Drosophila melanogaster: one gene and its partner. The protein of the gene in region 1 interacts with the protein of each later gene in a pairwise test. Each region holds a gene or a part of one and is shown in the gene's direction. Other genes may lie near its edges.

Region 1 (9,453 bases):
CAAAAGCATTGCATTTCTTCAATTAACTGCTCTTATATCTTCATCTATCTAATGCTTCACAATCTGAGTAACGGGTATCTAATAGTCGCGACAATCGACTAAAGCGGTCTTTCTGGGTTTATCTTAATTTGATTTTGCGAAGAGGGGAAGGTGGTGAGTGTGTATGGGTGGGCGTCTGACAAATCTATAAGTGCATGTGCTAAGCATGTTACATTTCGATGATTAATGGTGAGCAGAGCTAAGGGGAGTTCCGGGAATTAAGCATACGCCATGTGAGCACCGATTTTGACTGGGTGGCCGCCATTAGAAAGCTGACTGTAAGTGAGAAGTGGCTAACTACATAATAGGAAAACTAATATATGTTCCTAGCTAATAGCAAAGCCACCTAATTTGACTATCCTGAAGCGTACTAATTAACTAAGGATATTTCAATGGTTAATTAACGTAGGCCTATGCATTTAGATAGGAAGTGTTTAGCATACCTATTAACCCTATTATGCAGTACCTTGTGGCAGTAGACCCGCACTTCCTTTACTCCAGTAGCCACGGGAACGAGACATATGCCAGGGTCCACAAATCTACTTACAGCGCACTGAAGCTTCAGTTTCAGTTTCAGCCTCAGCTTCAGTTTCATCTCCGGCTCAGTCAAAAAAGTTTGCAATGGCGAGCAAACTTTTGTGCGGGCTAAGTGCAAGTCTTAGGGAAGTTGGCCATTTTTTGCCCGACTGCCACTGAGACACAAGAAATAGGAGCGGCCAGTTGGGCCCGAAGTTTTCACTGAGCCGCTGCACTTCTGCCTCGCATCTTTCTGCGGTCAGCTTACTAACGACTTTTCGATACGGACCGAGAACAGCTAAAACTTTTGTGCTTGGCCTAGGAGATAAAATGCTTCGATTGGTGAAGGGGGAGCTGGGAAATGAAGGCGGCGCCCTGAATGGGCGGGCACACCTGATCCTCCACTTAATCCCGATGAGGAGCCGGGGGAGAAGAGCCGGGTGGCATGCATATTAATAAGCTGCACAAATGTTTGCCGGCAAACAAAGTGGCAGGATGCCGGCGCTCAGAGTCAGATGCCGTGTAGTTCAGTCTATTAAAAGGCACAATGGACTTCCTCCCCTGAAACCCCGGATCCGAAGGGGCACGGGGCATGTGATGCTTCATTTCCGCTTCGCCAAGGAATGCACAGATGGTGCACAGAGATAAATTGACTCTGGAACTCGAAGTACAATAGTAATCATAAAAATTTAACTTTATTTAGTACCTTACTTAGTACTTAAGAAAGTGATTTGCAAAGGATTCACAAGTGATATTATACAAGCTTCAAATGGGGTCTGGAATAATCAAATTTACTCCAGCCTAGATAATAACGAAGATTTAGACCTTTAACCTTAAAAGTTTTTTTCAGCATGAAATCTTTAGGTTTGATAATTTTGACAATTTTCTTTCTCTGCATGGAGAGTGAAAGCTTTCCTCACTCAAACTGTTTGCCGTTTAGTTTCGCATAAAGTGTAGTCTGCCCTGTAAAATGCATAAATCTTTGTTGGCACTGGAGCTCGGCTCATTCGCAGATTCTCGGTCCTGCGTCCTGCGACCTACGTCCTGGGTCTCAGGACCTGTATCCTGGATGCTGCAGGCTGGCTGGTTGGTCCTTCGCCCCACGTCTTACGTACTTTTTCGCCTGTAGCCGCCTGGGCGTCTTGTTTGTTGCACGTTTCATTTGTCAAAAACGGTTTAGGAATTTTATTGCCAGCCCCAGTACTGAGAGCCCAGTGGCTTCCGGGGGGCTTGGGGGTCCCATCTTAGTGGGCGGTAGGTGGTGGTGCATCTGCTGCACTCGTTGGCAACCCTAAGTGGCAACCGCTGGGAGCCCATTGAAGTGCCACTGATAGCACAATAATTTGTACATGGCTTCAACCCGACAAGGACAAAGAAATGCAAGGTTAACTAACTACCAGCAGGCAAGTGAAATTTAAGCGAGTTAGGGCTGCTGGGAATACCGGATAAGGGATTAGACAGCTGAATATTTAATGGAGTTTCGGACAACGGCGGAAAACAAACTGCAAAACCAAGAAGTTCTTAAATTCTGCATACCGAGAAAAGAACAAGAGACAATGCTAAAGTCTAGTTCCCTGACTATCAGATACCCGTTACTCGGCTAGTGTGAATGCGAACGCGAAATTTCATTATTTTCCTGGGATATCGATAGATATTGGGGAATAAAATGAGAAAAAATATAAAATTGTTCCAAAGTGTGGGTGTAACCTGTTTTAGTGGGCGGCGTGGGAGTGGCAAACGTTTTTCGGCAAATCGCTAAAATTTACACGAGGTACAATAAAATATATTTGTCATTCGGCAAAAACAAGAGAGAAGGCCCAGGAGAGCTTTATCTTCAGTGAGAGTAGCCTATAAATATATTCATTTTAAGAAGGAATTGTATCTAATTTAAAACATGTTTAATACATGTAATATTTATTCAAATATTGGTTATTGTTTTTTTATATTATTTAATATTAAAAAGTTAAGGAGAAAAGACAAACACTACTTCTACTTTCAACTTCTGACTTATCCGCTTTTTCACAACTCATTTCATTTCGACTTCTAGTTTGCAACTTCTTTTTCGATCATTCCTGCCAACTGCACTCCTGATCCTATCGATAGTTTCCTATCACGCTGCCACCACCATCATTTTTGACATACATTTGCAAATTTATTTCGTCAAGTGATCACATGTTGATAATTTAGATGATGACCTGCGCAGCAGCAGAGGCGCAGCTGATTGGAGCGGAGTTGGCCAAACGCGAAGGGTAGGCCAAAGAAGCAGCAGCGTACTTGGCCACCACTGGAGCAGCAACGGAAGCAATCTCAGAAGCAGCATCGATTCCATTGTTGTTCCTGGCGATACTGGTGGCGGTCACAGGTGGAGTGGGAGCAGTTACCACGGCAGCGAGAGCAGAGTAGTCTAGAGGAGCAGAGTAAGCCAGAGGACCAGTGTACGCCAGGGCAGCACCCAGGAGATCGGGCTTGGCAGCAGCGCAGGCGACGGTTATCAGGACAAGGACGGCCTGTTAACAAATCAGCTTGATTAGCTTAATCCTCTGTGGGTCCTTTCTGAAGAACGTACGTATTTGAACATGGTGGAATATTTCGTTGTGTTGTGCTTTTTCGGAAGGCTAGAAGCTCTTTGATATCCCACTCCTCTGCGTGGAGCATATTTATACCCGAAATTGTGGTCAGCTCTGACTCCTGTTCGCACTTATTTAGTTCATATAAATGCTGTGACAGTCTCCCGTTACGATTAACCATTTTCACTTTTCCGTAGTTTATGTGATTTCTCACTGCTAACTGCAGAAGGTGGACTAAATGCGATGACCTGAAGTCACAGGCGCAGCCTCGATGCGGCGTATAAATAGTGGTATGGAATGTGTTGGGCGTGTAATTGTTTTAAAAATGTAACAGGTATAGATGTAATAGATTTGGTTTCCGAGCTCAGAACCTCTGCTCTGTTTGAATCTGTTTATTCGAATGATCAAAGTGTGCTGAAGTTGGGTTCAGCTAACCCGCACATACATTGCTTATATCTATGTATTCTTACTTACATTTATACATATACATATGTATGCAGAAGGCATTGACCACTTGAGCTGCAAAGTGCATGCTCAGCATTCCCACGCTCCGCGATCGGCTTATGTATAAGCGTTAGATCGTATTACTGGGGCGCTGGAGTGCTTACGTAGTTTTTGGTGGTCTTTTTGTATATTTGTATATTTATATTTATTATGACAAAGTGTCACAATGTATTGACGCTATGTTATACCCAATCATCTATTGTATTCTTAGGGTAGATTAGTCCAATATGCTACAGGCGACATCAGGTTCAAGTTTTCGAACCGAAAGCACCAGATCCATAATCCAAATGTTTAAATCCGTAAGTTTTGAATCTTAGCTTTCTGCCCTATATACGAATTGTATTTTATTCACAGGACGTCCTTGTCTTGGCCTGAACTGCTTGGTGCGCCTTGGCCTACATTGCTAACGTGGCTTACTCTCCTCCTCTGGTCTGACTGTCGTAGTAGCTGGTCTCTCTCCAGTTGTGACCGCTGCCAGTTGTCAGGTTAATGAATGAAATCGCTCTTGCTCCTGTGATTGCTCCCGTGGCTGCTCCTCTGGCTGTGTCTCTCTTGGCCCTGTACGCAGCCGCTCCTCTGGCTGCGCCATGACCTACTCCTCGCCTTTGGCTTACTCCGCACCACTGAGCTACGCCGTTCCATCTGCACCGCTCCTTATTTAAATTACTAAGCTGTGATCACCTCGGAGACAACGGAAATAAATGGATATTCAATTGTATATTCCTTTTTAAATACGCTTCAAATTAATATTTATTTCAATGAAATAATTGGGAGTCCGGGGAAAGCTTTGTAAACTTAAATCTGGGACTATGCAAATTATACCTAATAGTATACATAATAATAGTATGATAATAAGTTACGTAGTATGGACAGGCACTGTAATCAAATCTAAAGCATCCCAAAGAACCCCATCCTAAACTGTCAAGGGAGTTTTCACTCATTCTATTTGTATACAAGCTTATAGAGGCTCAACTAAAGCTTGATAACAGCAATGGCGAAGAAGTTTAGTAACATAATATTCTATCTGACCCTGATAATCATAGCCATCTGTGTGGCCTGTATCTGGATGTTCTCGGGCTTCCGTCACGAATATGGCAAATTCAACATGATCCTGGTTGCCTTCTTGGCCGTTACTTTACTTCAGATCCTAATCTTTACGCCCATTAAGTTCACAATTATGTCGCTGGATGCCGCCTTCTGGCCGGCCCACCAAGCACCGGAGACTCCCGACGAGAATGCCAATGTGGACACGTTCATGGACAATCTCAGACTGCGCCTCCGGACGCTGCGGAGTGAGCTGATGATCACGGAGAGGCATCGGAACGAGAGGGTCAACCTGAAGTATCGCCTGATTACCGAGGAACTTTGGCTCACGGGCAAGCTGTTCCTGGTTTACTTCTTCATGGCCTTGGCTTTCTTCGATGAGTTGCTGTACTTTAACACAGAGGCCACGGAGTTACTGTTCCAATGTAATCATGGGGATGCGTTCGGACTATTGAGTGTGGGGGATGTGCCGGATATATATTTTTTTGTGGTGTCCTCGTTAGTGCTGGCCTTTACGGATGGCAAGAACACCAGTGGCGGAGCTCCTTGGATCCATGCGGAGGGCACTAGACTACTGGGCGTGGTGAGACTGAGGCAGCTGAGGACAGAGAGCAACCGATTGGGTCTATCGCTTCCTGTGTTCACTGAGCGGGACTTTTCGGAGAGCTGGACACTGCCCTACGAAAGGGTTCCCTATACGGACAAGTACTGGCCCATCTACACACCCTGGCTGCCCAGTGTTTCTGTTGCTCGGGACAACCTACTTATGGGCATTAACCACGTGGGGCACATGTTCAACTATCCGGAATCGAAGGGCTACAAGGTACTGCTCTCGGACACCCGCCACAAAAGCCTGAAAATTATTGATTACTTGATGAAGAAAAACTGGCTGGATGCGAATACGACCGCTTTGTTCATGGATTTCAGCTTGTACAACGCGGATGCCAACACCTTTACCGTGTGCACCTTGTGGGTGGAAAAGTTCCCTTACCAGTATCCTGATGGCCACACGAGGATCGAGAGTCACACCTTTGTGGAGCAACTGCGAGAGTTTACGAAGTTCGGAATGCTAATGGTGTTTGTCTTTGTCGTCACGTGGCTGCAGTTCACCAAGGCGTTCTTCCTGAAGGTCTGGTACGATCCTCGACAGTTGAAGACCCTGTGGGTCCAGGTGGATGCAATGATCGTGGCACTCAGCCTCGTTGTGGGGATGATCATGTCGGTGCGGGATAACTTGGTTCAAAAGATGATCAAGAGTGTTGAAATCGCCGTTGTGGTGGACTTTCTGGACTTTCGGGAGCCAGCCCAGCTCGCCTACCTTGAGGATGTGGTCACGGGATTGGCCGTGGCCTTGGTCACTATGCGTTTGTGGAAAGTGTTGCAGTTTTCCGCCACCTTCCAACTGTTCACCAAGACAATCGCTATGGCGTGGGACGCGTTGCTCTGCACCTTCGTAATAACCGTGATTTTCATCATTGCAATTGGCATTGCGACGGTAACCATCAATGGCAACTATACCAGCAACTTCAGGGACTTCCCCAAGGGCATTGTTACGGTCACCTGCTTTGCCTTTGGCTATACGAATTTGGTATACCCACCGGATATCTTTTACGGCGGAGAGTGGCTGGGCATCTTATTGTATACCATAATGGGATTCGTGGTCAAGTACATGCTGATCAACTTGATCGTTTCCATGATGAGGGATCAGATGGCCAGTGTCAAGGCGGATAGGGATAAGAAAGTGAGGCAGCGCATAACATTCTGGCAATTCCTGCGCGTTGAATATGCCCACTTTATTAACTACATCGTAAAAGTGTTCCACTGCCAAAAGGGATATCAGCGAAAGAATCGCACAGTTGCACAGAACATCCAACGAAAACTGAATAGTAATGAGCTTAAGCGACGAAAGACGAAGATTAGTTCAATTTATTCCGAGACAATATATGTCATGCCGATAGACAAGGATCTGGAGCAGATGAAATATAGGGAGCGGATCGAGCGAACCTTCACTCTGGCCGCCATCCTCCACACCCAAATGGAGCTCATGGAGAGGCTTATGTTCGGTGACGAAGAGGGGAACCTGCCAAGTTTGGACCAGGAAGACGAGCAGGTTCCAGAGACTGAGGAGGACTGAAGAACGACAGCTTAACTGCAGTTTATACAGTGCAAGGGATCATAGGGATTCTAAGAGATTCATGTGAAATAGAACTTATGGTAGTACCTTCATCAAGGTAAAATGATGATGTGTACATACGTGATGTTTGGTAACATTTTCTGCACAGTTGAAACCAAATCTCGGCAAAAGTCCCTAATAGTTAAACACTACTTAGGATAGTTTTGCAGGATCCTTCCCCATCCGTGCAGTTTTGTGATTTTTTGTTTATGTCACGGCTAAATAATTATGCGCAAACAGGCAAAACTTTTGACTTGAAAAGGCTTTTAGGGCAATTTGGCGCTTGCTTTGTTCGGCCTGTTTGCCATCCGAGGATTCTGGCTGAGCTCCAAGTGCCCGAACCAAGTGACTTATAAAAGGGGGAGTGGCACAGCCCTCACTATTGTTATGAAGTAAGCAAATAAAAATTTAATACTGCAAGCTTTTAGGCCGAGCCGCGACTGCAAACTATTCGCTATTCGCTGCGAAATCTGAGCTAAATGCCAGCTCTAAAAAGGACTCGGCAAACATTGTCGAGCACATCCTGTAAACTAAACAATTGTCAAAAGTTTCGGGTCCTTTTTCTATCAGCATCAGCCCACAGACAGATAGTCTGGCAAGTGTTTTTCTATATCTTTCCTGTCGCACTTACGTCACTCGGGGGATTGGGGAAAACTTTTATAATTATTAGCAACAAATGAGCAGTGACAGAGCGCTTCTGCCGTGACTGTAACTTTCCAGGATTTTCCCACATTCAGGATCCTTCCCTTTTATTTGTGCAGTGCCCAGACGGCAGAAATCACAAATGATCCCCGCCCTCAATTTAAAAGTTTTAACTACCTGACTATTTCTCCATTTTCCTCGGCGTAAGGGTGTAAGGGTATGTGTGTGTGTGTTTTAGCCGAAGACAAACGGTAAAAGAAGGAGAGTGGCCAAATCAAAAGCCGTGTGCATTTTCCCCTGCCATTGTGTTAGTGCTCCAGTGAGCTACCCGAAAAGTTTTTAATTTTTGATCGCTTTTTGTATGGCTCCACAATCAGCACCCAAAAGTATGCATTAGTGCTGCTGGCTTACGAAAGCTTGCTGTTATGATACAATGTGTGCACGGAATACCTGTATATATATTGACCTGCTAAGTCTATGTTAAAAAATTATGTTAAAATATTTGAGCTACAAAAAAAATGTATGTATCTATGTAAACGCAAGTGTCAGCCTTACTGCGCTGCAAGCTTCTGTCTGAAAAAAAAAAACATATATATATAAAATATAAATTGTAAGAAAGTTAAATCGAAATCATTAAATCATCCACTTAGGGTCTAATAAAGCCCTTAAAAAATAAGAATATTTTCGAAAGAATAATCGGAAGGTTTTGAGAAAAAGAATCGGAGAAATAGAGAAGGGGAGTTTGAATCATTGGTAGAATTGGAGGGGATCAAATGGCCGCAAAGTGATAAAAAGAATCTGATTTTAAAGATAATGTCGAAGCCTCAGATTCTGAATTATGAATATGTTGCATTTGCTCACTGTCCAGTAGAATCAACAAGGAGTGGACCATTAAGGAATGGAGTTCGATATGTTATTACGCCTAGCCAGAGAGCATAAAAAATCGTAATTAAGTTCCTAAGCTCAAGAATCTTTTCTCCCAGGCAAGGGATGTTTGGAAAATGTATCCTCCAATGCTGTCTCAACTTTCACAGTATCAAGCATTCTTTCTCCATAGCGCCATATGAAATATGTCTTCTACGTGGACAAGGCATTTCCCAGGAATTATCCATGTGTTTTCCATGTCTACGAGTGAGGTGGATAATATGCTGAAGAAACTTAACTTTATCAATAATAATGTAATAATACTGCTGACAACAGTTTCGTAAATATTAAATCATTTCATTATTATTTTGTTATTTTAGAAATTTTTTATTTTTTATTTTATATATTTTATATCTTTATTTTTATATTTTTGTTTTAGAAATGTGCAGCAGTTTGCAACACTTGCCCTTCAGAGATATTCCAACAAACATGATTTCAGACCTCCTCTCTTACATTCTCTTAACATTACTTCTCTTCATTCTGAAAGCTCTCGCCAAAGAGAAGCGCTGAATGGAAGTCGCACGACAAAGCTTCCTGCCCCTCGAAAGAGAGCCAACTTCGTCCTGCCAGGCTTTTGGGTTAAAGTTTCCACAGAGAAACGAAGTCTCGTCTATGTGTTAGGTATCTTTGCGGACAGGATTCGTGGCAGGATTTAATTCATACCTCGAGTGCCGTGTCCTCGGTGTTCAGCCAAGGTTAAGTGCTGGTGCAGCGCCAAGCGCGTCACTCCTCGAGTCCTGAGTCCTGAATCCATCAGAGGAGTGCGTGTAGGAGTTTTGCACGCCGCCAGGGGTTCGTCGTTCCGTTTTCTTTTGTTTTTAGGTTTCCCGCCACTTCGGCACGATTCTTCCCACCGAAAAAATAATGTCCCCATGCACCCCAACCAAGAGTTAAAGAAGGGGCTCATAAACAATTGCCTGGAAATATAATACATCGGCTCTTTGTTCTGGTCCCTCGAACTTTTAGCCTTAGCCTTTAATCCCCACCGAGAAAAGAGCCCGCATATTGAAATATTTTCCTCAGTGGCGAGAATGAACCGCGAAC
Region 2 (8,599 bases), on another chromosome or scaffold:
ATGTAACAAGACGAGACAGAACCTTTGAGGTGGGAGAAACCGTCATGGTAAAACAAAACAATCGCTTGGGAAATAAACTAACCCCACGGTATAGGGAAGAACTAATCGAAGCAGACCTCGGGACAACGGTCCTCATAAAAGGGAGGGTCGTTCATAAAGATAATCTACGCTAGGTTTAGTATTTCTTTTCCTTTTGTGACCATCGCCAAGTTAGCAAAATACAAACGTGAAATCTGAACACTAGTAAAAGAGTTTGCAAACATTTTTCAATTAAATATTTGTCAAATCCTTCTTATTTAATCTTTAAACATTTTGTATTATTTCCGCTTCATCCTCTTTAGAAAATTTTAAAGGTATGTGATGAAATGCTAGACCCGAATGATTTGAAAACTTAAAGTCCACGCAACCACAAATATTTCCTGAAACTACCATAGAAAATAAATGCATTACCAAAACGGCATAATAACAGTATAGCGCACTCACTCTAATTAGATTTCAAATTCCCGATTAAAAAAAAATAAAACACTAATGTTATCAATACCCTTTCCTGATTCTGTTCAACTAAATAGGAAAATCAATACTTGCAATCAATAAGCGTTTTACTACATACTTTAATATCAAAAATATCTGAATGAACTTTATTATAAAATTATAATTGTTATACTTAATTATTGTCAAAACTTTAGTATTAAAACTGTAACTACCTCTTAAGTAGATGAGAAGAGTAGAAGAGGGAATTAAGATCTATCAACGTAGTATCTGCTAAAGACGTAAAGATGCGGCAACTATTTCTGCGCCTGGGTACTGAAACGACGAACTGAATAATATCTGCCATCAGACGCCAACCAGAGTGCGTTCAACACATACGTTTTGATGGTCAACTAGTTCAACCAACATCAGCATCATCGTCGTCAACAAGTCGACGGTTACAATAAAGATTTTTTCCAAGTTCGCTACGATCATCTCCAGAACCTTGTTGCGAACCCATGACATGGAGAATCAGCAGCATTTACGAACTTCTCGGATCATCCAGACACGCAGAGCTGCCTTCCCTTCGATGGTTTAACGCAGTACCAGGTTGGCAGTATGGGAACTTAGTGCACAACCAATGTTACCCGTAAGATCCGCTTTCAAATAGATTTGCCAATTGTAAAAAGTCTGTGGACAGCCTTCGTCTTAGAAGGGGAGGAGTTAACACAATCACAAAACACCCGAAATATAGTCGTAAGCCTCAAGTGCTTTTCCCATCTATAGATCGAGCTTTACCTATAAGAAACTGTAACTTGTTAAGCTTTAGAGATAAGAACTCTTGCTATACTTAAGTTAGTCGATTTTGGAAGATTAGAAGCGTCGGTCATCGCCACGTACTTACTATTCGTCTCATTAAGTGCAGACCGCGCAAGCCCTATTGTAATTAATAAACTTACGCTAATAAATATATGGAAAATCTACTAAAATGATAATTTATATATTATTCTTCGGAGAAACCCGCAATGGGATCGATCGATAATGTTTACAATTTAAATTTTAAGTATACTTTTCTTTGTTCGATTATTTGGCATCGGCGAAGCCCACACGATCGTTGCCCATGTCAAACTCGGTGTAGTATTTGCCAATGAAAACGTCACCGAGGATCCACAAGGGTCCGTTTGGAGGGGGGATGTCCAAGCCCATAAAGCCGGACAGACAGATGGTCTTACCCATCTGGGCCACACGGAGAATATAGTCCTTGCCCTCGAGCTCGAAGGTCTTTCCGCCCAGCACAAACTTGATTACCGGCAATTGGGGAATGAGATCGCAAGAAACCACATACTAAAGTAAGAAATTAAGAGGATTAGCAGTGCTTCATGTGAGAACTTAGAGCATGGTACTCACCTGACCACCGATGATGGGAGTTCCACCAATCTTCTGGTTAATAGAGGTGGCCTCTTCCAAGGGCGCAGCAATTAGTGAGGTACCGGTGTCAGCGATCACCTGGCAACCGCCCTTGCACAGCTGCAAATCGCCAATGGAGGCGGCATCCATCTTGATTTGCCAGTAGGCCTTGCGGGTAACGGGCAAGTAGGTGAATTCACCAGTGTAGTGGTTGGGATCGGAGCCGCCAAAGATGATCTCACCGCCCTCGGGCGAGGCGGGATCGCGATTCAGGTAGAATGAGAACACCGGAGCGGAGATCAAACCCTGTTCGTACATGGCGTAAAATGGCGGCTTCACCTTGTCCACCGAGATGGAGTTGTAGCCCAGGCCTAGGATGCCGTCGAACTTGGCAGCTACGAAGACCAGGCCCGGCTCACTGAGCGCCTCAGCGAATGTCTGATCCTTGATGTCCAGGCCGGCAATGGACACCGTATCCGTGGACAGGTATCCGGACAAGCTGCCCGAGCCATACTGGATGGCGAACTCAGTGCCGTTCTTGGTGTAGGTCTTCGACTTGGAGGCATCGTACTTGTTGTGCATCAAACAGGCGATGTTGGTCAGGTGGCACTTCTTGGACGGCACCCACAAGTTCGAGGAGCCGGTGTCGAAAACCACACGGAAGTTCTGCGGTGGCGAGCCAATGGCAATGGGCCCATAGTACTGCGCGTCCATATAGTTGGACAGCGGTTCCGGCACATCACCTCCGCCGTACCTAATGCGCAATTGCTGCAGCTCCGTGCCCACATCCGCAAAGTGCCGGCGGGCCGACTGAAATTTGTGGAGCGGTACGCGCAGCAATCCGGGCTTCTCCTGCGAATTTGGGTGGGCCACGGCCGCAGCCAGGAAGGCGACTAGAAGCAGTGCAACCTTCTGCATTTTGATTTCTATGTTACGCTTCTCTGGTGGCTAAAACTGCAATGATCGCTGCAGTTAATTAAATATTGCGGCACAGCGAAAATGATTCAGCACAGATAATGTACTAAATTTGGCTTGGCGCGTCGTTTTGATTAGAGAGATTCGATAGTTTTTGTTGTAAACTAATGCAATTCTTTAATTTTCGGAATGTTTCTTTTTAATATTTCGCGTTTATGTATATATAATACAAATGTATCATTATTTCTACACATTTAGGAAGAGCTTGTATCATGACTACGATCTTACTTTAGAGACAATAAGGGAAAGCTAAAAAAGTATTTCCCATCTTTCATTTTTAAACGCTTTTATGAGCAAACAATTAACAATTATGATGAGCAACCTTAATGTATTAATTGATAATATAGATAACAATCGTAAGGAGCGGGTCGAAGCTGAATTTCGAATCTTTACTTGTATATATAAATTCTAATAAATTCATGATAACATGGAATTATATATTAAAATATGAATAGTAAGTTGTATTTTGAGCTTAAATGGTTCAAAAATATTACAAAAATAGTCTTCTTATAGTCACCTAAAATCCAGAGAAATAATTTTATACTATTGATTAAAATGAAATAAAAGTATTAAATATAGATAAAAGATATAGCTAATCCTTTCTAGTACTTTTTACAATCACTTATTACTCGACAAAGTTTGGATTTGACCTTAGCACAGACATCCAAATCGGAGATTAGGTCATCAATGTTCGTTCGGAACGGAGTAACTCTAGCAGTATCCTCGAATGACTGTTTGGCGCGCCGCATTCTTTCGTGAATCTCACTCATATCGAGCATCTTTCCAATAGAAAGCTCATGGTTGGTGGACAACAGTACCGAGAACAGAACGGCGGACTCCATGGAGACTTTGCTTCGATACCCAACGCAGGTTTTCTGCTCCATTTCATCGCTTTCCATGAGCACGGTTTGGCATCTTTTCAGGGAATCGCCTTTCTATAAAAATCGAGCAAAAATTAATATCATACTATTGGATTAAGAGAGTAAGAGATATAAGATTATAATGTGATGTGTAAGTGCCCGGATAACTGCATAAGGATAGATTAAATTAAATTAAAAAAAGGGTACTTATTGTTTATTAACGAAAGCAATTTTAAGTAAATACATTCATATTTATGCATGTACATAGTAAATTGGCATCAAAATTATTCGCCGACAGATATGCTTACCTTAATCTTCTTGATATCTTCAGGTTGGATAAAATGTTTCTGGCGCTGGACTACAAATCGAGCTGCAAGGTCACAATCCGGAGTGTACTGGTAGCCTTGGGCAACGCGCCTGAAGAATGGATGCAGATCCAGAAGCTTAAGGCGTTTTTGGGCCATCTCCGAAAGCTGATAGGTGTCCAGTTGGGGCAGAACTTCGGTTAGGAATAAATGGCACACTTCCTTGGCAGTGAGATCCCTGAAAGCCTCGTTCCTGGTGTTCCACTCCTTCCAGGCTGAAGCATCCTGGATGTAAAACAGACGGCACGACGCAACAGCGTAGTCGATCAACTCCCTGTGGATCGATTGTTCAGCATCGTGCAAAAGCGTAGATCGAGCAATACGGCCGATATTGGCATTAAATTCCGCTTCGTCCACAGTTTCGTCCATTTTCATTCCCAATATAAAACATTTTATTATAAAACAGTAAAGAATCGGTTTAATTTCAACGTGCGCTTTCAGATCTGCACTCTTTTTGTAATCGATAACTGCTGTGTATCGTATGCGGCACTGAGACTATTGAAATCTTAGGGAATGTTTAGGAAATAGGAACATCTGGAGTTAAATGTATTTCAAAACCGAAAGCCACAACTTTCCTTAAAATATTATGCCAAAAAAAAATCTACTAATATAAATTTAAACATAATACTTAATTCTTTATTTATGTTAATTCATAATAATTTCTCTTCCAAGGGAAGTGTATTTGGAGTGCGGCTACTAGCATAATTTTCACTCTCATTGAACAGCTGATAGAGTCGCCATATCGTTATACAGTTATGTTTACACTTGCTTCATATTGGCGCGAATCATTCAAGATTGTGGGTTAAATCGAATTAGTAAAAATCAAATCACGATTTTTCATTCATGTTCAGGTTCTTCCGCTGCAGGCGATGAAGCGTACGAAGGCGCAGAAGGCAGGTCCTTCCAAAAAGGCAGCAAAAAACGAGAAGGCCAGCTCCGAGCCCAAAAGTGACCAGGAAAGCAGCGATGAGGAGGCCTCCACATCGAAGGCTTTGTTGGTTTCTAAGCCGGATTACCAAAACTTCGAGCAGTTTCTTACCCACTTGGAACACCAGCGAGTCTGCACGGCAGCCAACATACAGGAGTTCTCTTTTCGAAAGAAACGAGTGCGCGTTCTGTCCAAAACCGAAGATGTAAAGGAATCCAGCCTAGGCGGCGTCGTCTACTGGATGTCCCGCGACGGGCGCGTACAGGACAACTGGGCCCTGCTCTTTGCCCAGCGTCTGGCTCTCAAGCTGGAATTACCCTTAACTGTGGTATTTTGCCTAGTTCCCAAATTCCTGAATGCCACTATCAGGCACTACAAATTCATGATGGGCGGCCTGCAGGAGGTGGAGCAGCAGTGTCGCGCCCTTGACATACCGTTTCACCTGCTGATGGGCTCCGCTGTTGAAAAGTTACCACAATTTGTGAAATCCAAGGACATCGGAGCCGTAGTCTGTGACTTTGCTCCGCTGCGTTTGCCACGCCAATGGGTCGAGGATGTGGGCAAGGCACTGCCCAAGAGCGTGCCGTTGGTGCAAGTCGATGCTCACAATGTAGTCCCCTTGTGGGTGGCCTCCGACAAACAGGAGTACGCTGCGCGTACCATCCGCAACAAGATCAACTCCAAGCTAGGGGAGTACCTCAGCGTATTCCCACCAGTTGTGCGGCATCCTCATGGAACTGGCTGCAAGAATGTGAATACCGTGGACTGGTCAGCTGCTTATGCTTCGCTGCAGTGCGACATGGAAGTGGACGAGGTGCAGTGGGCCAAGCCGGGGTATAAAGCAGCCTGCCAGCAGCTCTACGAGTTCTGCAGTCGTCGTTTGCGCCATTTCAATGACAAACGAAACGATCCCACGGCAGACGCCTTGTCCGGACTCTCGCCGTGGCTGCACTTTGGTCATATTTCGGCTCAGCGCTGTGCACTGGAGGTGCAGCGGTTTCGAGGACAACACAAAGCCTCGGCGGATGCGTTTTGCGAGGAGGCCATTGTGCGCCGCGAACTGGCGGATAACTTTTGCTTCTACAACGAGCACTATGATAGTCTTAAAGGTCTAAGTTCTTGGGCATATCAAACGCTAGATGCACATCGCAAGGACAAGCGAGATCCCTGCTACAGCTTAGAAGAACTAGAAAAGGTTCACCACGGATTCTTTTTCTTTTGATTTGAGACTAAAATGATTTTATAATTTTTTCCTAGTCTCTCACTTATGACGACCTGTGGAACTCGGCGCAACTGCAGCTGGTACGCGAGGGAAAGATGCACGGCTTTTTGCGCATGTACTGGGCCAAAAAGATTCTGGAATGGACAGCGACACCGGAGCATGCGTTGGAGTACGCAATCCTGCTGAACGACAAGTACAGTCTGGATGGTCGCGACCCCAACGGCTATGTGGGCTGCATGTGGTCCATTGGCGGCGTCCATGACATGGGCTGGAAGGAGCGGGCTATCTTCGGTAAGGTTAGGTACATGAACTATCAGGGATGCCGTCGCAAATTCGATGTAAATGCCTTTGTCATGCGATACGGCGGTAAGGTGCACAAGAAGAAATAAAACGTTTTCGGATTTGCCTTTGTTTTGAATGCAAGCCAAGAGCATTTTTTATTTAACCATAGATCCAAGAGGCTTTATAAAATATGACAAAATTACAGCTAGCGGGACAGAACTTAGTCCTTCTCGGCGATCTTGGTGAGGTGTTCCTCGATCTCCCGCTCATCCAAAATACGGAAAGTGGGATCAGACTTGCTGACCACGCCGATCTCAATGCCGTTCGGCTTGAAGTCTATAGCGAGCACACTGGACAGACAGGAGATGGCCAGCTGGATCGCTTTCTCCTCCGACAAGTTGGGCTTGTACTTCTTTTCCAGATAGCTGTTGGCCTCCAGAGTCTTGGCACCCACGCTGCAGGCCTTGAACCCGCTGAAGTAGCCAGCCGGGTCCGTCTTGTAAACGCTGGGGCCGATTTCATTGTCGTAAGCGATCAGCACCATGCTGCAGCCGAGCGGACGCATCTCGGCATTCTGCGTGTACACCTGGTTGATATCCGCAATTCGACGACACAGCACATCCACGGGCATTTCGTAGCCGTACTTGTAGCGGAAGTTGGCGGCCTCGTATCTGGCCTTCTGCACCTGTGAGCGGGAATCAGCTAGGGGAGAGAAATAATTTTAAGTATTTAGTGACACTCTTGGGTTGATATGTCCTCTTTTCTAGTTGAAGCACCGTGTGAAAACTACGTTTAAAATGGCTCCACGCTATACGCCTTTGCCCTAATGTCTGGCAGGCTATTTCTTCTGATTTTAGCACAATCATAAGTGAATCGCTACTTGGTTACATGGGACATATCAACAATGGGATAACTCTGTGCTAACTCGACTGGAATTTGACTCGAATCACGCCGGGATAAACAAGAATTTAAAGTATCTATGGTTCATACCTATGCGTCCGGTCATTGCGCATCCAATGTCCTTGGTGATGCGGAACAGGTGGGTCACCGTTTCAGGCACGATGTTCTTCTCGGTCACTTTTTTTTGGGTGGCCACCACGGCACAGTCGCCACTCTTCAGCGCCACCGTGGTGATGTTCTCCTGGGCAATAGCCTTGAAGGCGTACTCTGGCGGGGAAATGAGAATGTCAGACTGGATACAATGGAGCCGCAAGTGCCAGGATACTAACCCACTTGGTAGAGGCGTCCCTCCGGAGAGAAGATCGTGATGTGTCTGTCAAAGCCGGCTGAACTTCCGCGAGACATGATGCTTTCTTCGTGCTTCGATAGCTGCAATAGACAACGCCGGTTAAAATTCAGTTCTCAAGTCTGCCGCAAGCAACACACCTTTTGAACAATTAAAATTTACAAATTTGTATATAGCAGGGAAAATGTCGCTTCAAATCGAACCTACTGTGCAAAATTCAGATTGTCATTCTCAGCCCGAAAATGAACCTAAAAAATACCAAAAAGAAACGCGCGCTGGGATATATCGTTTATCATTGAAATCGAATATTTGGAAAAAGCCAAAATAGTGTTAAGCTACGCTTACAAAATGTTTAAATTATTCCTATTTTTATTTGTGAATTATTGTAAATTAGTCAACATAGAGCAAAGGGATTTGTAAAAAAAAATATTAACAAACATATGTAAATTGAAGACAAAACTTTTACTGCTCAGTAACGTTATCTTATATAATTTTTGTTGAGGCTTACAACGTTATTTCTTAAGAAAATGTTTGTAAAAAAAGCTATTGAGCGCAAGCTAAATCTAACTGGAATTAAGGCAGTTGGCCGTAACTAAGCACAGGTGAACCTATCGACAATCGATAACGTCGCGGTGCCGTGCGTAAGTGATGGCCAACTCTAGCTGGATGTAACCATTGAGAATCGAGGTAAATATTGGTCAATAACAGCGGAGAACGCTGCAATTGCGGATTATTTGGGAGTCAAGTGCGCGTTGCCGGCAGCGAAAATGCACGAGGATGATCTGAAGAGTCAGTTGACCATCGCGCGGAACGAGATCAACAATCTCAGGTGCGTTTGAGACAGGC

What was found. The genes of interacting proteins can lie anywhere in the genome.
Region 2: the proteins of brv1 (region 1) and phr interact in a two-hybrid assay, tested with the Drosophila melanogaster proteins (one large-scale study listed by BioGRID).

Annotation. Positions count from the first base shown.
Region 1 is NT_037436.4:19,481,634-19,491,086, reverse strand, and holds brv1 (brivido-1), read left to right. Parts: upstream 1-4,588; 5' UTR 4,589-4,617; coding exon 4,618-6,804; 3' UTR 6,805-7,261; downstream 7,262-9,453. Other genes in the region: CG32212 (uncharacterized protein), read right to left, coding at 2,739-3,062, 3,122-3,133.
Region 2 is NT_033778.4:7,820,674-7,829,272, forward strand, and holds phr (photorepair), read left to right. Parts: upstream 1-4,615; 5' UTR 4,616-4,830; coding exon 4,831-4,872; exon of another isoform or gene 4,873-4,926; coding exon 4,927-6,198; intron 6,199-6,260; coding exon 6,261-6,614; 3' UTR 6,615-6,646; downstream 6,647-8,599. Other genes in the region: cathD (cathepsin D), read right to left, coding at 1,552-1,812, 1,876-2,793; CG30383 (uncharacterized protein), read right to left, coding at 3,453-3,785, 4,019-4,450; Prosalpha1 (proteasome alpha1 subunit), read right to left, coding at 6,728-7,209, 7,498-7,674, 7,737-7,812; CG18853 (uncharacterized protein), read left to right, coding at 8,521-8,582.